2 linked regions of the Ovis aries genome follow. The protein of the gene in region 1 interacts with the protein of each later gene in a pairwise test. Links are inferred from orthologs where the notes say so. Each region holds a gene or a part of one and is shown on either strand. Other genes may lie near its edges.

Region 1 (10,287 bases):
AGAGCTTCTCCATCTTTGGCTGCAAAGAATACAATCAATCTGATTTTGCTGTTGACCATCTGGTGATGTCCATGTGTAGAGTCTTCTCTTGTGTTGTTGGAAGAGGGTGTTTGCTATGACCAGTGTGTTCTCTTGGCAAAACTCTATTAGCCTTTGTCCTGCTTCATTCTGTACTCCAAGGCCAAATTTGCCTGTTACTCCAGGTGTTTCTTGACTTCCTACTTTTGCATTCCAGTCCCCTATAATGAAAAGGACATCTTTTTTGGGTGTTCGTTCTAAAAGGTCTTATAGGTCTTCATAGAACCATTCAACTTCAGCTTCTTCAGCATTACTGGTTGGGGCATAAGCTTGGATTACCATGATATTGAATGGTTTGCCTTGGAAATGAACAGAGATCATTCTGTCGTTTTTAGGATTGCATCCAAGTACTGTATTTCGGACTCTTTTGTTAACCATGATGGCTACTCCATTTCTTCTAATGGATTCCTGCCCGCAGTAGTAGATATAACGGTCATCTGAGTTCAATTCACCCATTCCAGTCCATTTTAGTTTGCTGATTCCTAGAATGTCGACGTTTACTCTTGCCTTCTCGTTTGACCACTTCCAATTTGCCTTGATTCATGGACCTGACATTCCAGGTTCCTATGCAATATTGCTCTTTACAGCATTGGACCTTGCTTCTATCACCAGTCACATCCCCACCTGGGTATTGTTTTTGCTTTGGCTCCATCCCTTCATTCTTTCTGGAGTTATTTCTCCACTCTTCTCTAGTAGCATATTGGGCACCTACTGACCTGGGGAGTTCCTCTTTCAGTATCCTATCATTTTGCCTTTTCATACTGTTCATGGGGTTCTCAAGGCAAACTCTAATTTTGGATTAGCTTAATTCACTAAATACATTAGTGATTTTAAAGAAAAATCTCTACATCCCTTTAATTTATTTATTGGCCATGCCACACTACTTATGGGATCTTAGTTCCCTGAGCAGAGATTGAACCCAAGCCCTTGGCAGGGAAAGCATGGAAATCTAACCACAGGGAATTCCCATACTGAATTCACTAAATACATTTAAAATTTTAAAGAAAAATCTTTGCATCCCTTTTAAATAATCCACACTCCTTCCTAACAGATTAGTTACCTATCCCCAAAAAGTGACTTGAAATGAAAATAAATTTGAATTTATTTGAGAATACACACTAACAAGAGGAGTTAACGTAAAATCACTGACAAACTTTTTACCTCATTATTTTAAGGTAATGTAACAGTAGTGTATCAACATCCAAAAAGCAGACAGACATAGGGAGAATGGAAAGAACAGCACAGGTGGAGTTTATGTACCAGGAGTGTTCAGTTCAGTTCAGTCACTCAGTCGTGTCCGACTCTTTGCGACCTCATGAATCACAGCACGCCAGGGCTCCCTGTCCATCACCAGCTCCTGGAGTTCACCCAAACTCATGTGCATCAAGTCAGTGATGACATCCAGCCATCTCATCCTCGGTCCCTTCTCCTCCTGCCCCCAATCCCTTTCAGCATCAGAGTCTTTCTCAATGAGTCAACTCTTCGCATGAGGTGGCCAAAGTACTGGAGTTTCAGCCTTAGCATCATTCCTTCCAAAGAACACCCAAGACTGATCTCCTTTAGAACGGACTGGCTGGATCTCCTTGCAGTCCAAGGGACTCTCAAGAGTCTTCCCCAACACCACAGTTCAAAAGCATCAATTCTTCAGCGCTCAGCTTTCTTCACAGTCCACCTCTCACATCCATACATGACTACTGGAAAAACCATAGCCTTGACTAGACGGACCTTTGTTGGCCAAGTAATGTCTCTGCTTTTGAATATGCTATCTAGGTTGGTCTGTAAACAGCACTAATTACTTCGACCCTCATCTTTGTTGACAAGTGCAAGAGAAGAAAGGGGAACTGGGAAACCAGTCATTTGGGACTAAGAACAGGAAGCTGGGAAACTTTGTCATTTGGTCACAACTCCAAGAGGGCAAAGGTAACACATCATTTTGTGTAGATGTAGCACTTTCACTTTTCACTTTCATGCACTGGAGAAGGAAATGGCAACCCACAGCAGTGTTCTTGCCTGGAGAATCCCAGGGATGGGGGAGCCTGGTGGGCTGCCATCTATGGGGTTGCAAAGTCGGACACGACTGAAGCGACTTAGCAACAGCAGCAGCAGCAGCCCTCTCTATCACTCATACTAGCACAGAAGAGGTCTATCAAAACCTTAATTCACAGAAGGTGAACAACATATTTACAATGCCAATTTACAAAACTAATCTGAAAAAAAAGACCATCTGCTTTAATGTGGAATACAGTAGTTCTAAAGTTATGGTTAAGGATGAAAAGAAGAAAAAACTATTTAATCAGCCACCTACAGAATAGAAAAAGGGGAAAAACTGCATTTCAGAAATGATGCATCACTCTGGAAAAGCTTTGTTTTTACAGACATTCCTCTGAAACTCTGTCAGGCAAACGTTTTTATAGTCTATTTTTTCTCACACACACTCATGATATACAGCATAAATCAGACATGGGGCAATAAGGCAACAAACATTCTCTCAGACCAACAGAAAGCATGGCAAAAATTATCTATTTCTTATATAATTTTTTAAAACCTACATTCCTTATTTTTCATCTTCCTGGGAGATAAAAAGGTAAGAGAGTATTTTGGAATCATACTTCACAAAGTACGATAATTTTTGCTTGGTTTAAACAACAACAGAAACAACAGTGTGTTATTTTGAAAGGGAACCTAGCCCATTTAGCCTTACGAAGTTCTATTCCTAAAATCTAGACTATTAATACATGCCAAAATGAGAAAAGCAATTTACCTTCAAAATGCTAGGACATTTTTGTTTCTGCTTTAAAAGCTTTGTGGCTCTGGAGGTTAATTAACCTTTCACATTGGGTACTATGGCATTTTCTCCATGAATGAAAATAAAGAAAATATGATTATTTTCTTCATTACTATGTTCTTGAGGGAACAACATGACTTATGATCTAAATAAGTTTTAAATTGTTGTATAGCTTTTGAATCAACTAAAGATCATATTATGCAAAAAAATGGTATTGATAATAACCAAAGAAAGCTGTAATTATCAGCAATCCCACCATTTGTCTCAGGGTTGAGGTTTCCTATACCTATATTTTGAAAATGTATAGTAATGACATTTTTTATAATATCAATGAATATAAAATCAAAGATTCAAAGACAATTTTTACAGTTTGAAAAATGTTCTTTCCTCTGCTGCTCAAAGGCATAATACCATCTTCACATAGCAGATGTAGCACCTCATGTTTCTGATATTGAAGATGACCAGGCATTGACTAGTCAAAATCATGTTGGAAAGAACATTCTAGCATGGGAAAAACAGTAAAAGTATATGTAAAGACAGTCACAGAGGAATTATTATTTATTTTCCTCTAGTAGTCATCGGCATATCAGTCACAGCTGGTAGTTTCCCAAAGGCTCTTTTCTTTTTTCTTTGAACCTATTCTCCTGAGAAAGTAAATTCATTTATTCCACAAGCAATTACTTAACACCTTCAATGTGCAAGTCTCAAACTATGTGCATTGCCTGAGATTAAAAGAAAATAGAGTATGGCTAAAAGTAATACACCATGATTACTGAGGGACTTAATTTTACCCTAACTTTTTACACCAGAACTTTAAACATAGCCATTATTTGGTATTCTCAACTGTTAATTTGAAAGTAAAAGTTAATTTAATTTTTCACTTACCTCTGAACTCCACTAACAATGGAACTGTCATGAAGAAAAAATAGCTTAAATTCAGTTGTAAAGAAGGAAACACAAAAAGACTTAATCACACACTAGACAAACACTCCTGAAAATTCAGAGTGACTGTTTAGTATAAAGTCTAGATTCAGAACTCTAGTCCTTCTGAATTACTAACCTTTGTGGTATACAGCTTCTGACAAGGCTCCCCCAAATTCCCACCTCTTGGTATCCATGACTATATTTCATGCCCACTATGGCCCAGTTGGCAAGCAACCAAGAGAGGGCTTTGCTAATAGCTCATGCAGAAACAGTGGCCTCAGTCTAACAACACACAAGGAACTGAGCCCTGCAACAGCCACACAAGATAGGAAGTGAATCCCCCCTAGTACAACTTTGAAATAACTATGGCCTTAAGAGAAACTCAGCCAAAAGACCCAGCTAAATGGTACCCAGATTCCTGATCCACAGAACCGTAACATGATAAATGTGTATTGTTTCAAGCTGCTATATCTTTAATAATTCGTTATACAGCAATAGATACCTAACATAAGCCTATCTGAAGAAAAGTATATTCATGTGCTAATTCTGGTACATATTTTAGAGAAACAAGAGGCCTCTCTAAAGTCCACCAACTGAATTCCTAGTGGCCCAGAGATCCTAAACTAAGAAACCTCTGCTATGATAAACTCCAAACAATATGTTCAAAAGGCCTGCAGAAAATTGAACCATGCTGTGTAGCTTAACAATTGTCAGAATACTTTCCTTCCATAAGGTATCATTAAGAAAGTTAAATTAATCTAAATATAAATACTAACTATCCTAGTATTAACATTATCAAAGGTAAAAACAAGTCAAATTATACTAAAACATTACTTTAAATAACGTATTTCATAGTACTAAATAAGTACTGAGGTTAAAAAATTGACTAAACACCATCCTTAAGTACTGTGTGAGACAAACACACACACAAAATAATTATAATAAGTTCTGGGATACAAACAGAAATTTGCAGATGGTATCCATTCATGTATGTAATACACATGACATATATGCATGACTTTATTAAATTTTAATTATAAAGTAAATAAATACCTGTACAGTTTTTCCAAGTCCCATATCATCACCAAGAATACACCCTCTTCCTTGGATGAAGTGTCCATAGAGAAACTGGGCTCCCTCCCTTTGGTAGTCTCTTAAATACCTATTGATAGTATAAGGAATGGAGTCTCCATTTTCAGATAGTTGAAAAGGAACAGCTGACGATGGAAATTTTCTGTCTGGGAAATAAGGTTTTTCCAAATCTTCATCATCAAATATAAAATTCCTGGAGCAATCTTTAACAGATTTTACTTCTTGAAGTCTTTTAAGAGGTACTCTCCTTTCTTGAAAATCTGAATATAAGATGACTGCAAATGACTTCCCATTTTCATCCACTGTGATAGATTTTATGCTTGCTTCACAAAGTTTTTCATTATCTGGAGAAGGGGCAAGACATCGTTCTCCTGGATGCCATATATCTATAATAATAAAGGAGAAAATAAACTTTCCAAATCTAACTTTTAAAGTAACACCTCATTTATCCACTTCTATGAGAAAAAAATATTCCTCACATAAATACCCTTCCCAAAATTTGAAACAAGACAAATCATAGGTATCTTCCTAAAGTATATTATCATAATAAAGGGGATATAATTTATTTCTAGTTTTTCTCACCCTATGTGTCATAATCTCCCCATACATGCTTAATCTATTTATGCTGATTAGGTTGATATGGGTCATGGGCATTTGGTTTTATTATTGTGGGCAAATGACTCATGGGCATTTGGTTTTATTATTGTGGTTGGTTATTATTGCTAAATTCAAAAGGTGATTCTGATGCACAGCCAGGATTAAGAACCACTAAGAATCACCTGATGACTCATGAACATTATGTATAGCATTCATACATATGGCAGAATAACTGTGAATAGGACTCGGTAATAGGTAAGCTAAAGTCCTCTGAACAGCTATATTTTTGTGATTCTTCTGTCTGCTTTTTTAGTTATTCCATGTCCTTTTTCTGAACAAAGCTATTTCGTCTCACTGTCAATACTGCTGTTTCTAAAACGTTCCTTGAAGCTGTATACAGCTAATCAAGGGAATCCCCAGTTCAACAGCAGAGTGACATGCACCAGCTTTATCACAGCTTTTTCCATTCGAGGTTTTTAAAAGCTGAGGTTCTTAAAAACGAGATGAATTCTAAGATCTCCTTCTGCTATCATTTCACTATCCTTTGAAAAGTCTGACTTCTCTCTATGTATGAATTCATTCTGTGCTTAACTGTACAGCTATTTTATTTTGTATTCAGAAAATACAGTACTATGGAGTGGGGAGGGAAGCCTCTACAGAGTATAATATTGGTACAATTAAAAGGTACCAAATAGAGGAAATTAAATAAAAATAATTTTCCTAATGGGATTTCATGTAACAAGAATTCCAGAGGAATTGTATGGCTACAATTGTAAGAATACTAGGAATTATTTTTTCCACACATTTCTCACAGAGATCATATGCTCATTGGTAGTTTCCCAGGGTCTTTCTAATGATTCTGAATTAGGCTTTTATAACATTCATGATTATAACTAGTATGTCTATATTCTCCAGTAAGAATAGCTCATTATGCTATTCCCCATCAGTTGTTCCTCAAAAGTAAAACCATTATTCTAACTTTGATAAAGTTGTTTTTATATAACAATCAGAAGCACAGCAAAAAAAAAAAAAATCTGTTCTCCCACTCTAATTTTGTTTTCAAACTGTTTGAGAATTATTACACTCTTCTAAAAATGTTCTAATGTGAAAATAACACTCCGATTCACTGTACAGAGATAAGTCAATGGACCCTATTTTCAAAACAGTACTATCTGAACCTTAAAACCTATGTAAAGCCTTAAGGTAAGTCTTAACACATTACTTGTTTCATATGATTTGTCTGCCTATCCAGCATATGCCTTGTAATTTTTTAGAGCTTTAATTCATTAACTTATTATCAATGTATATGATTTAAAACCAGCTATTCACCAGATACTGTACCACACTATGAGTATAAAAATGAAGAAGAAAAATGTCAAAAATGATAGTCATTAAACCTTGCTTGAAACTAGTCTTTCCCAATTTCATTAAAAGGAATCACTGTCTAGCCAACATTTCAAGGTAGAAAACCTTTCAGTTCAGTTCAGTCGCTCAGTCATGTCCGACTCTTTGCGACCCCATGAATCACAGCACACCAGGCCTCCCTGTCCATCACCAACTCCCGGAGTTCACTCAGATTCATGTCCATCGAGTCAGTGATGCCATCCCGCCATCTCATCCTCTGTCGTCCCCTTCTCCTCCTGCCCCCAATCCCTCCCAGCATCAAAGTCTTTTCCAATGAGTCAACTCTTCACATGAAAACCTTTAGTCAGTCCTTATTCCTCTTCTGATATTACTCCCTACATTCAATCCATCAGAATGTCCTGGTGGTTCTACTTCAAAAAAAAAAAAAAAAAGCCATCACTTTCCTCCATGCCACCAACTCTTCAAAATAACTATTGGCAAACTTTTTCTGTAGAGTCAGATTTTAGCTGTTTATTATTTTAGATTTTGCAGGTTTTATTGTCGCTTGCCTTTGTAACACAAAAGTAGCTACAGACACATAATCAAATGGATATGGCTGTGCTCCAATAAAACTTTATCTACAAAAAAAAAGTGTCAGGCTGAATTTGGTTCTGACTGTATTGTGTCAACGTCTGGCTTTCTCCTAAATTACTGCTCTAGACTCCATTCTTTACCCATTCTCTCCACTGACATTATCTCCCCCTACAATCCATTTTCCACATAGCTGCAATATCAACTACTTAAAAATATTTATTAGTAAATCTTTAATTTAAAATCTTTTAATAATTACCCACTACAGAAAGAATAAACTCCAAGCTCCTTACTATGGTCTACGTGACCCGTATCATTTCCCCCTACTTACCTCTCCAACTTAAAATCTATCAATATTCCCCTTGACTCAGCATACTAGGCAGGTCTTCTCTCACTTATTGTTATGTCATCGCCTCATAGATTTTGTTTCTGATCATCTTATTTAAAGTACCCCACTATTCTGTACCTGAGTATTTTACTGCCTGTATAGCACATATCACAATGTTTAATTATCATGTTTACCTTTTAAAAATCTTTCACTAGAGAATAGTATCTTTTCCGAAAAAATGTCTGTATTGTTCAAAATTTTATCCCCGGGGCCAGCACACAGGAGGCACTCAATAAACGTGCTGAATATATTAACAGAAACACATTCCGAACCTAATAGAACCTTGTTATCTAGTGAGAGAGACAAATACTAAAAAGTTCACACATGTGAAATTGTTGCTTTAAGAGTGCTGTAAGAAAGAAGGACTAAAGAACAGTTTAAAAAGGAAGGAAATCTAGGCAAAGAATGTCAGTCGGGGGGTACATATAGCAGGTGCAAAAACCTCATGGGCTTCACACAACAATCTATAGAAATCTATTAAAATTTGGTTTCTGAGTTTGGGTAACTTGTAGGACTAAGGAGATTCAGTTAAGTTTGATCTAGGGCAGTATCTCTCAGCATTCAAAGTCCAGAACAAATAGTTTAAATTAGGACGATTTCTTTTTGGACTGAATGGGGGGTAAGGCTCCTTACAATCTGGTCCCTGTGTCCGCTTTAACTTCATTTCCTCCCTTTCTCCCGATTTCATCCCAAACTTGCCTTCTAGCTGTTCTTCAACCATGACAAGCATACTCCCATCTTCGGTCCCTGAGATTTCTGTTCCTTCCACCAACCCTCTCCCTAAATCCCAATGTGACTGATTCTCTCCCTTCATTCAGGGTTCTGCTCAAATGGCATCTCCTCAGAGGTATCTCGGAGAAGGCGATGCCGCCCCACTCCAGTACTCTTGCCTGGAAAATCCCATGGATGGAAGAGCCTCATAGGCTGTAGTCCATGGAGTCACAAAGAGTCAGACACCACTGAGCGACTTCACTTTCACTTTTCACTTTCACTCACTGGAGAAGGAAATGGCAACCCATTCCAGTGTTCTTGCCTGGAGAATCCCAGGGACAGGGGAGCTTGGTGGGCTGCCGTCTATGGGGTCACACAGAGTCAGACATGACTGAAGCGACTTAGCAGCAGCAGCAGCAGAAGTATCTTCTCTGATCACTCAATCTAACATAGCACTCCCTGCCACTCTCTCTTCCTTTACCCTGCTTGATTCCATTTTCAGAAAAAATTTGAAATATCTGTTATTGGTTATCTACTTCAGTTCCCCTGAGTAGAGACAATTTGTGTACACTGCCATATTCTGGACACTGAGGACAATGTTTGAAACTCAAATACTTATCAGATTAACAAATATTTATGTAGCGCTAACATTTTGAGGTTTATGTGTGCCACACATGCAAATTGCACATAGTAGGTCATTTAAGCCTTACAACAACCCTACTTCACTACGTTCACTACTTCATGTAAATACTATTATTAGTTCCCTTTTATAAATGGTGAAACAGATAAAGGTTAACCACAGCCACACAGCTAGAAAGTGTCAGAGCCTGGATGTGAATCAAGCTATCTGAACTTGTAGCTACCATGCTGTACCAGTATACTCATGAATGAACAATTCCTTGGAACTGAGCAGCCCTCAGTTCAGTTCAGTTGCTCAGTTGTGCCTGACTCTCTGTGACCCCATGGACTGTGTAGCACGCCAGACTTCTCTGTCCATCACCAACTCCTGGAGCTTGTTCAAGCTTATGTCCATCAAGTCAGTGATGCCATCCAACCATCTCATCCTCTGTCATCCCCTTTTCCTCCTGCCCTCCACCTTTCCCAGCATCAGGGTCTTTTCCAATGATTCAGTTCTTCACATCAGGAGGCTGAAGTCTGAGTAGCCCTGCCCCCTTTTAAATGAGATATGAACATCCCAGTTACTATAATCTCCACTCAGCAGCTTCATCTACTTATTTTACCTGCCAGGTTTCTAAAGATATTTGTATTTGTGGTCCCTGAGTGATAATGTCATCAATTTCTAGTCTTCAGAGCTGAGGCTTGTTACTTAAAAGTCTCTGAAGTTTGGTTCTATATTCCTCATCTATTTAATCAGATCAGTATCTTCCTCAAAAGAAAACATGTAAACAATCAGAATATTTCTAGGCACAGAACAAGCATTCATTCAATATCTGTAAGTTTTTGTTATATCACTATTAATAATGAAAACGATTAATTTGGGGGCAAGAAGACATTCCAGATGACTTGTGGCAAATAACCATGTTCTCCCTAAACCACTCTTAGTGACCCATTAAAGGTGACCCTGACTCAATAAATCACATATAAAGCTCTTTGTGTAATAAACTGAACTAATCTCAATCTATATTCACCACTTAATAATGAACCTACCATTCACTAAGGACTGAGGCATACAACAGAATAAAAATACCAAACATTTAGTGTTTACTATGAGCCAGACACTGGGTCACGTTAAGTGCTTTGCATGACACCGTCTCAA
Region 2 (10,729 bases), on another chromosome or scaffold:
CAAGTCTCTGGAATTTCAGAACAGGAGTTTGAGAAGAAACTGGGAGGGAGGCAGGGCGAGCTGGACATTCACGGTGTGACCTCCCCTACAGGGACCCAGGAGGCGCCCTGTGAATGGCATGAAGATGACTGTCCTGAAGTCAAAGCGGTGCAGCCAGCTGCTGTTCCTCGGCACAATGGCCCTCACGGTCACGGTCATCAGCCTGCTCTTCTTTGCTCTCCTCTGGAAGGCCGGCAACCTTGTGGACCTGCCCAACCTCAGGGTTGGCTTCTACAACTTCTGTCTCTGGCACGAGGGCGCCAGTGCCCTGCAGTGCTACCAGTTCCCGGAACTGGAGGCCCTGGGCGTGCCTCGAGTGGGCCTGGCCCTGGCCAGGCTCGGCGTGTACGGGGCCCTGGTCCTCACCCTCTTCGTCCCCCTGCCTCTCCTCCTGGCCTGGTGCAATAATAACGAGGGGGAGTGGCAGCTGGCCGTGGGCTTCCTGGCCACGTCCTCCGTGCTGCTGGCCAGTGGTCTGGGCCTCTTCCTCACCTACACCTGGAAGTGGCTCCAGCTCTCCCTCCTGGGACCTGGGGCTCTAGCTCTGGGCGCTGCCCAGACCTTGCTCATCGTCTTGCTTGTGGCCACAGCTGTGTTCCCTCAGAGGGCAAAGGACAGGAGCTGGGGAGCTGCTAGCTCCGTCTAAAGGCTTATGTGATCGCAAGGGTTCGCTTTGAACTGTGCTCAGAGAAGGCTGCCAGAGAACACACGGGCCGGTGTGTCTTCTCGGCCACCGTTTCACAGCCAGCGCTGAGCAGGCTGGACCCACCATGGAGGGGGTGGGTGCCCAACGTCAAGGAGGACAAGACTTCTTAGGATAGGGTGGTCTGTCCTTTGGGACTTCTAAGACACCCGAGAACCACGTAGCTCATTGTTGCAAGAATTCCTGCTTTAGTTAACTGACCTGAGCAAGCCATTCTGACTTGATCCTCAGAACAATGGGGAGATAAGGCTTCCTGTCATTGGGGCCAGATTTCCAGGACAAGCTGCCAAATGCCAGACGGGAACCCGGTGACGGTTTATGAAGGAACGCCTCAGTGTCCCTGGGAACCCAGCCTAGCAAGCGTCCCATCTCCATCCGAGACAATGCTCCCAAAGGCCAAGGAGTGATCTGAGGGATTCACAGGACAGGCACAGAGAAGAGCCTGGCGGTTTTGAATGTTCCCCTGAAAAGGCGCCTGGACCTGCAGACAGACAGAACAGGGGTCTAACCACTGTGCACGAGCAGCCCGCTCCCAGCACGCGACCCGGGTGTTCAGGAGCCCAGGACGCCAGGTCCCTGGTCAGGAGAGGACGATGAACGGACTGAGCTGGCCCACGTCCATGTGAACGCCGCATGCCCTCCCGTCTCACCCTGCGCCGGAAAGGATACGAGCGCCACTCACGCACGGGGGCACTGTGTGTATTCTTCAGCATCTGTTACACTGACAATCTGTACAGCACGTGATCGCCTCATCCCAGGCCTGTGCAAAGCCACCTGAATAGAGGCAGAAACACGGACTCCGGTGTGATGTCTTGTCCTCTGTGTCTCTTTTGGGCTCCTATCCCACTCTTACTTTCTAACTGCCCAGGGGCTGAGGCCTAGAAAGGTGGCAGAAGGTGGCGGCCCAGGGGAGGAGGGCTGTCTGGTTGGTCGGGAGGCCTCCCAATCTGTACATGGAACGGCAGGCAGGCTCTCAGTGGGGAGCCCAGCCCTGGGGGAAGGTGTCTAGTTCAGGGTTGGACCAACAAGGGCTCACTGACCAACTGACACGTGACGGAAGTGATTTTAAAAACAGGCTTCTTCCTTAAGGTGGCCAAACCGTAGGAACTGCAGGGTACTTAGCAGCCATACTGGTTTTTCCTTGAAAATTATTAAGCTGACTCTTCAGTTCCAGTAAGTTTGACCCCCATGATCTCATTTCCCTGGAACCAGGTACCTGAATAAGACAGTGTTGAGCTCCCAGGCCCCTGAGCACGGACAGCAGAGAGCAGGAATTCTGGGGGGAGCTCACTGACTCTTCACCTCCCCTGGTGAATCCACCCAGCCCAGGGAGGCTTGACGCTGGGAGCAGAAGCTGTCACAGTCTGAGGGCAGCGCTCGGGCTGAGAGGGGAAGCCCAGCCTCCTTCAGCCGCTCTCGGCAGAAGGTCCTGGAAGTGCGTCCCTCAGCTGAAAAAGATCTCCCTGACGTATTTTAGCTCGTCCTGGTCTTCCTCGAGGCTTCTGCTGCAGGCCGTGCCAGAACCCGAGGGCCCCAGGGCAGGGCCGTCTGCCCCACAGTCGTCTTCCTCACTGTCCTCGCTTCGGCTCCAGCGGGGACTTGGGGACGGCGGCGCTGGGCTGGCCGGGGAGCGCTCTGGCTTATCAGCGCCTGCCAGAGGTGGCGGCTCCAACGGCTTTTCCTGTTTTCGGTCCTCCTGAGCAGAAGAAACGGCAGGCAAACAGATGGGTTTTACTTCCCTAACATGCAAGGACACAGAACGTACCCAGTAGCACCTGTAAAGCCAGCGCCGGGGGGCCGGGCCCAGCTCCCAGATCACAGATGGCCCCCTCCCTTCACCCGATTCTGCCCCTCCCCGCCCTCCTTCTCGGGCGGTGCAGAAATCAGGACCAGCAGGGCGAGCGACGGGCAGGGGCCTCAGGAACAGCGGCGCAGGGACGACAAGTGGACCCCACGGACACGGAAGGGCAGGCCGCGAACCCTGAGTGCGGGCCTCACTCACTGGGACTAGCGACAGTATCGACCAGCAGGTTATTGCAAGCATTAAATGAGAGAGGAATATATAAAAGGCCCTGAGCAACTCTCAGGGACTACACCACTCGAAGGTGAGACAACCGTTAGCCGCTCTTGGAAGCCAGGGCTTCAGCGGCGAGGTGCCAAGGATGGTGATCAGAAGTTACCTCGCCCGAAGGAGACCCTCAGAGAACACGAGCAGTTCACGACTCTTGTCCCCTCCACCCGCCACCAGCAGAGAGCCGCCCAGACTGGGAGGGCTGCCCTCTCTCACACGGCCACGGCCTCCCAGGTCTCCAGCCCCAAGGGCCCGGCAGGGGCACCCCTCCCCTGGAGCGGGCTGCAGATGAGCAGGCTCCCGGCTGCCAACAGACAGGGCGCCTCTTTTATTAGCATGAACCCCCGCCAAGAGTCTCCAGTCATCAGAAAAGACACAGCTGGGCTTCCCTGGCGGGTCAGTGGTGAGAAGTCCATCTGCCAATGCAGGAGATATGGGTTCAAGCCCTGGTCCGGGAAGACCCCACAAGCCTCGGGGCAACTCAGCCATGTGCCACGACTACAGAAGCCTGTACGACCCAGGGCCCACACGCTACTATCACTGGACCCAGGAACCACAACTCCTGAGCGCGTGCTCTGCCAACTGCAGAGGCCCATGTGCCCTGGAGCCCGTGCTCCACAAGAGAAACCACGGCAGTGAGAAACTCTCTCACCGCCACCAGAGGGCAGGCCCCACTCCCCGAGCAGCAGCAAGGACCCAGCACGGCCAACATATATACGTAAATAAAATTTACAAAAATAAAAGACACAGTTGACTGTACCTCAATGAGGATCCCCAGAGCAACGTCGACAATTTCGGCTTCATTCATGCAGTACACAGTCCTCACGGCAGGAAATCTGAGAGAAGAGCATGAAGTTAGAGACAGGCACGAATCACCAGCAGGAAAGAATGAGACCCAGAGTCACATCTCGGGGCCTGTCTGCCAGGGCTGAGAGCAGTAGCTTCCCCAGGGCACTGCCGTGGCCTCTGAATCCTTGGAACTAGTGACTGGCACAGGGGTTCTTGGGGCAACCATGGGGTTTCCCACCATCCGTCAACTCCGCTAAGAAATAGGGTGAGATGGCCGGCTCCTGAGACACACACGCGCCCGCGCGCGCATACACGCTCGCGATGCAAAAAAGGTCAAACAGGCCAAGACATGTCTGAATGCCACTCCTCACCCCCATGTGTGAATACAATAAAGGAGGGCTTTCCCTGGTGGCTCAGCAGTAAAGAAACCCCTCACAATGCAGTCCTGGGTTCAATCCCTGGGTCGGGAAGATCCCCTGCAGGAAGGCATGGTAACCCACTCCAGTACTCTTGCCTGGAGAATCCTCATGGACAGAGGAGCCTGGCTACAGTCCGCTGGTTCGCAATGAGCTGGACACGACTGAGCAACTAAGCACAGCACAGCAAAGATCAGAAAGCAAGGCTGGTCAATGAAGAAAACTTAGAAAGGGAAGTCAGAGAGGGACAGTGAGCACCTGAGACTATGGCCAGGAGAGGACAGGGGTACCCCCTCCCTGGCAGCCTGGAGACCCCCACCAATATCACCATTCAACCAACCTCCCCCCCACCGTGCCCCCCAGTCTCTGATTTCTGGCCGACCCGGCAACCTGCAGCTTGTCTGCCCGTCCCTAAAGATATATCTGCAGGAAGATGGGATCACTTGGTCCACCTACCCCCTCATTGGATGGTCACAATTTCTGCGGCAAATGAAGATACTGACAATTTGGACAATTGCTATCTGAGAGCTTAGCTGGTGTGTGTTTAACTCAAGAGCTGGAGCCACTATCTGGGAGCTGACCCATGAGGGCCAGAGGGTGGAGATTCACCGACAGAGGCAGAAGCCAGTGCCAGCCTGGCAGGGCACAGCCACCAGCAGCCTGCACACCCAAGAGCGGATGAGACGTTTGTGGACTGAAACACCCTCCCTCACTGTTCCACCAACACTGGACAACTGGGCCCCAGCAACTGTGAGGCCTTCAATCCCTCCCCTGTCCTAATCCCCCAGGAGGACAGAAGCTGCCCCACCTGGCTGCAGCTGCTGGCACCGTGGCTGGTCTCCTCTTGGGGGTCTTCACCTGCACCGCCCTCTTTTCAGCCACCTGGGCTGTCATCCATGTGGGCAGCACCCTCTTTTTATTCTCAGACTTTAAGGCTTCCATCTCTTTAGTCTCTCATGAAGAGGAACCAGGGTCCAAGCTTAGCGACTTCAGGACAGCGAATCCCACTCTCTCATCTCACAGCAGGAACTGTAGGTCCGTTTGTCATCAACAGGAGTCCATCTTTAATTCCTACAAAGAACAAAGTCCAGTGAATTCTGATAAATAAGAACATTCTCAGGCCTCAGCCACAGTGACTGGTTAGGGCAGGCCAGAGGTGAGCAGGGCCAAGGAGACTCAGATGGATCATTCACAGGGCATGAAGAGGGACGTGGGGAGTGGGCAGGCTACGGGCGTCATGGAGAAGAAGCCCTCCACTCAGGGCCCAGGGCCCCCACCAGCAGTGGGGCCCCATGCTCCCAGGAGCCTCTGCACTGAGCCCCTCAACACAGGAGGAAGGTGCCCCTTCTCTCCACCAGAGACGCTCACTGTCCCCAGGGTGCCCAGACAATCCTACCCTTAAAACCTCTCTCAATGCTCTCTTCCTCCCCTCCTCCCATCACAGATTTCTCCTTCCCTCTATCTAGGAGTGGTTATAAGAAACCCCAAGGCCATTTTGATTCAGTGAGGTTTCACTGGCCAACACCCACTCCCTTAAATCCAAAGATACTTCTGACTGGTCGGGTGTGTCAGATATCATTGTGCCTGAATGTGCAGAATCCAGACGCCAGGGCTCTGGGGGTCGGGGGCCGGTTCTCATCTCATCTGGCCTCTCCCCACCCACCCCCACTGGATTCCCGCCCTGCCCCTGCTGAAACTCAGCCCCGACCCTGTGACTCAAAGGGTGCAGATCTCTGCCCTCCACTGAGCAGTAACCCTGAAAACAGCTCAGCGCGCACGTTCTGTGAAAATCCAAGAGGTGCTAATAGTCATTCCCACATCTAATGTTGTTCAGTCGCTCAGCGTGGTCCACCTCTTCGTGACCCCATGGACTGCAGCAGCCAGGCCTCCCTGTCCATCACCAACGCCCGGAGTTGGCTCAGACTCATGTCCATTGAGTCGGTGATGCCATCCAACCATCTCATCCTCCGTGGCCCCTTCTCCTCCCGCCCTCAATCTTTGCCACATCTAAGGAGCACCGCTAACCACCCCGCACAAGCACAGCTCGGTGCTCGGTGCGTATACTGATTTGACCATGAGATGGATATTCTGAAGCCCATTTTACAGACGAAGAACTGACATTTACCAATTCGCACAGTCACCAAAAAAAAGTTTGAAATGGCCGGTCAGGACTCGCACCTGGGCCCTCCAGGCCCTGGCCCTGGGCCCCGCCGGCTGGGGGCGGGAGGGTGAGGGCCTGGGGCGGCCCCGCGGGCGCAGCGACCTGCCCGGAGCCCCCAGTTCTCCGCCTCCCCGCTCTCGGGGACCCCGCGCCGCTACGGGCGCGATGAGAGCGGGGCCGGCCCGCCAGAGGAGGGCGAAGCGGGACGCGCGACCCACCCGCCCGCGTTCCCGGTACTCCTCCGGCCGGGCTTCCTACCTCGGGGCTCGCGCGCCTCCCTGGCTTCCGGGGAGGACCCGGGAGGCGGATCCGAAAGGTGGTCGGGAGCGGGGAGCCCCGCGGCCCGGCCCCCGCTCCCCTACGTTCCCGCACTTCCGGATCCCGGCCGCCCGCCGGCGTGGCGGACCCGGCGCGCCCCCTGCCGGCGGCCGCGTGGTCTGCGCCCTCGGCGTTGGAGCAGGACTCGCCGGGTAAAGGTGTAGTGAGGCACTCCGACCTCCGCTGACCCGGGTCCTGACCAAGTCTCTCCTTGACCAAATTCAGAGAGGGATCTGAACTCTTCTCAACAACGCCCTGCCTTTTGGACTTCCGCGTGCATCTCCACATTGTCCGTTTTTACCGAGAATACAGCTAATACTGAATTAGCTGGAGTCCGCCCACCCTCCACACCTGATTCTCATCCATCGTCATCCCCCCCAGGTCACGTTTGATTACCCGGCCGCTTATGTAGAGTGCGTCATGAGAAACGCTGGGCTGGAAGAAGCACAAGATGGTATCAAGATTGCCGGGAGAAATATCAATAACCTCAGATATGCAGATGACACCACCCTTATGGCAAAAAGTGAAGAAGAACTAAAAGCCTCTTGATGAAAGAGAAAGAGGAGACTGAAAAAGTTGGCTTAAAGCTCAACATTCAGAAAACGAAGATCATGGCATCTGGGAAGTAGATGGGGAAACAGTGGAAACAGTGTCAGACTTTATTTTGGGGGGCTCCAAAATCACTGCAGATGGTGATTGCAGCCATGAAATTAAAAGACGCTTACTCCTTGGAAGAAAAGTTATGACCAACCTAGATAGCATATTAAAAAGCAGAGAAATTACTTTGCCAACAAAGGTCCGTCTAGTCAAGGCCATGGTTTTTCCAGTGGTCATGTATGGATGTGAGAGTTGGACTGTAAAGAAAGCTGAGAGCCAAAGAATTGATGCTTTTGAACTGTGGTGTTGGGGAAGACTCTTGCAAGTCCCTTGGACTGCAAGGAGATCCAACCAGTCCGTCCTAAAGGAGACCAGTCCTGGGTGTTCATTGGAAGGAATGATGCTGAGGCTGAAACTCCAATACTTTGGCCACCTCATGCGAAGAGTTGACTCATTGGAAAAGACTCTGATGCTGGGAGGGATTGGGGGCAGGAGGAGAAGGGGACGACAGAGGATGAGATGGCTGGATGGCATCACTGACCCGATGCACATGAGTTTGGGTGAACTCCGGGAGTTGGTGATGGACAGGGAAGCCTGGCGTGCTGCGATTCATGGGGTCAAAAAGAGTTGGACATGACTGAGCAACTGAACTAACACAGCAATAATCTTATTAGGTCGATGTAGCCAGAAGCCCACTTCACTCTGGTGTTTCCTCTTAGTAATTATCCATCCACTGACCCCCCACCCAGGCACTTCCCTTGTACTGGGAGTTGAGTTCAACCTCTTCCCCACAGAAAACCCTACCTAGTAGACTCTCTAATAGTTTCCTTACTGTTCCTTAACAAGGGTCGTGAATAATTTTAACAGTATTTTTTTTTAACAGTTCCCAAATGTGGCTCCATTTGAGGCTTGCTGGTTCAGTTCAGTCGCTCAGTCGTGTCCGACTCTTTGTGACCCTATGGATTGCAGCACACCAGGCCTCCCTATCCATCACCAACTCCTGGAGTTTACTCAAACTCATGGCCATTGAGTTGATGATGCCATCCAACCATCTCATCCTCTGTCATACCCATCTCCTCCCGCCTTCAATCTTTCCCAGCACCAGGGTCTTTTCAGATGAGTCAGTTCTTCTGATCAGGTGGCCAAAGCACTGGAGTTTCAGCTTCAGCATCAGTCCTTTCAATGAATATTCAGGACTGATTTCCTTTACGATGGACTGGTTGGATCTCCTTGCTGTCCAAGGGACTCTCAAGAATCTTCTCCAGCACCACTGTTCAAAAGCATCAATTCAGCGCTCAGCTTTCTTTATAGTCTAATTCTCACATCCATACGTGACTACTAGAAAAACCATAGCTTGGACTTGGACTTTGTTGGCAAAGACATGTCTCTGCTTTTTAATATGCTGTCTAGGTTTGCCATAGCTTTTCTTCCAAGGAGCGAATGAAGATTTCATGGCTGCAGTCACCATCTGCAGTGATTTTGGAGCCCAAAAAATAAAGTCTGTCATTGTTTCCATTGTTTCCCCATCTATTTGACATGAAGTGATAGGACCAGATGCCATGATCTTACTTTTCTGAATGTTGAGTCTTAACCCAACTTTTTCACTCTCTTTCACTTTCATCAAAAGGCTTTTTAGTTCTTTGCTTTCTGCCATAAGGGTAGTATCATCTGCATATCTGAGGTTATTGATATTTCTCCTGGCAATCTTGATTCCTGCTTGTGCTTCATCCAGCCCAGCATTTCGCATGATACATTCTGCAATTAAGTTAAATAAGCAGGGTGACAATATACAGCCTTGATGTACTCCTTTCCTGATTTGGAACCAGTCTGTTGTTCTAACTATTGCTTCTACCTGCATATAGATTTCTCAGGAGGCAGTTAAGGTGGTCTGGTGTTCCCATCTCTTTAAGAATTTTCCAGTTTGTTGTGATCTACACAAAGGCTTTGGCATAATCAATAAAGCAGATGTTTTTCTGAAACTGTCTTGCTTTTTTGATGGTCCAACGGACGTTGGCAATTTGATCTCTGGTTCCTCTGCCTTTTCTAAATCCAGTTTGAACATCTGGAAGTTCTTGGTTCATGTAGTATTGAAGCCTGGCTTGGAGAATTTTGAGCATTACTTTGCTAGCGTATGAGATAAGTGCAATTGTGTGGTTCAGTTCAGTCACTCAGTTGTGTCCGGCTCTTTGTGACCCCCATGAATCGCAGCACGCCAGGCCTCCCTGTTCATCACCAACTCCTGGAGTTCACCCAGACTCGCGTCCATTTAGTCCGTGATGCCATCTGGCCATCTCATCCTCTGTCATCCCCTTCTCCTCCTGCCCCCAATCCCTCCCCAGCATCAGAGTCTTTTCCAATGAGTCAACTCTTCACATGAGGTGACCAAAGTACTGGAGTTTCAGCTTTAGCATCATTCCTTCCAAAGAAATTACAGGGTTGATCTCTTTCAGAATGGACTGGTTGGATCTCCTTGCAGTCCAAGGGACTCGCAAGAGTCTTCTCCAACACCACAGTTCAAAAGCATCAATTCTTTGGCGCTCAGCCTTCTTCACAGTCCAACTCTCACATCCATACATGACTACCAGAAAAACCATAGCCTTGACTAGACGGACCTTAGTCGGCAAAGTAATGTCTCTGCTTTTGAATATACTATCTAGGTTGGTCATAACTTTTCTTCCAAGGAGTAAGCGTCTTTTAATTTCATGGCTGCAATCACCATCTGCAGTGATTTTGGAGCCCCAAAAAAATAAAGTCTGTTTGAATATTCTTTGGCATTGCCTTTCTTTGGGATTGGAATGAAAATTGACCTTTCCAGTCCTGTGGCTTGCTGGTTGGACTGTTAAAGGGACAATTCCCAGGCCCCTCCTTCCAACCAGAAATTAAGGAGAAGGGAGAGGGGGAGCTTCATTTTGGAAAGCTCTGATCGGGAAGGGCGGAGGGGGAAGAGAAGTCCCAGAAAAACCAAGTTCACAGCTCCCTGCTGGAGGCATGCACCCCCAGGTAGGGCAAGTAGGGGCAAGGTGAGTCCCTTGGGTGCAGGAAGAGAAATTAAAAACATTGTTTACATTTTTTATCTAGAAAGTGGGAGTTACTAATAATTAATATTCAAATTGGTGACTAAAGTGTTCCCTCTGAGAACAGGGCTGCTCCATAAAGTTGCCCATGTCTCCTCACTTTGCTTTCAACTTGATGCTGAGCGCTGCGGTTCACACGTGGAGTTAGCATCTAGTTTTACATAAAATCATACAGCTTGAAATAGCTTGAAAAAGGCAGGCCAAAAAAGATCCCAAGTGGCAGACATGACTAAACATTTGTGTTTTTGAGGCAAAAGGATGATCAGAACCATCTACCCCCCAAATGTGAAATTATCAAGACAGCCACTTGAAGTGTGACTTACAACAAATCATGTAATAATAGAATAATTACTTCCATATACTAGAGGCACAGGATAGGGGAGTGTGATCCAGAGCTTGGAAAATCAGAGCCAGATCTCACTTCTAACTGTGTGGTGACTTTGGTTTCCCCAGAGCATTTTCACCTCATAACTAAGCCTCAATCCTATGGAGGTAGGCTGGTCCAGGAAAGTTTAAGTCAGTCAAGGATTAAGAAGATAAATCAAGGAGTTAAAATCACAA

Evidence for each region.
Region 2: the proteins of ERCC6L2 (region 1) and CYREN interact in binary tests that used the Homo sapiens proteins (3 or more experiments, as listed by UniProt). The two-hybrid records come from large-scale screens. The link is inferred for Ovis aries from reciprocal best matches to the Homo sapiens genes ERCC6L2 and CYREN.

The regions. Positions count from the first base shown.
Region 1 is NC_056055.1:30,332,478-30,342,764, forward strand, and holds part of ERCC6L2 (DNA excision repair protein ERCC-6-like 2), read right to left. Parts: intron 5,266-10,287; coding exon 4,841-5,265; intron 1-4,840. UniProt on the Homo sapiens protein: Promotes double-strand break (DSB) end-joining and facilitates programmed recombination by controlling how DNA ends are joined in a spatially oriented manner during repair.
Region 2 is NC_056057.1:100,465,624-100,476,352, forward strand, and holds the start of CYREN (cell cycle regulator of non-homologous end joining), read right to left. Parts: upstream 6,556-10,729; 5' UTR 6,438-6,555; intron 5,090-6,437; 5' UTR 4,961-5,089; coding exon 4,827-4,960; intron 3,650-4,826; coding exon 3,574-3,649; intron 2,439-3,573; coding exon 2,187-2,438; 3' UTR 1,959-2,186; intron 1,540-1,958; exon of another isoform or gene 1,517-1,539; 3' UTR 686-1,516; coding exon of another isoform or gene 119-685; 3' UTR 1-118. Other genes in the region: TMEM140 (transmembrane protein 140), read left to right, coding at 119-685. UniProt on the Homo sapiens protein: Cell-cycle-specific regulator of classical non-homologous end joining (NHEJ) of DNA double-strand break (DSB) repair, which can act both as an activator or inhibitor of NHEJ, depending on the cell cycle phase.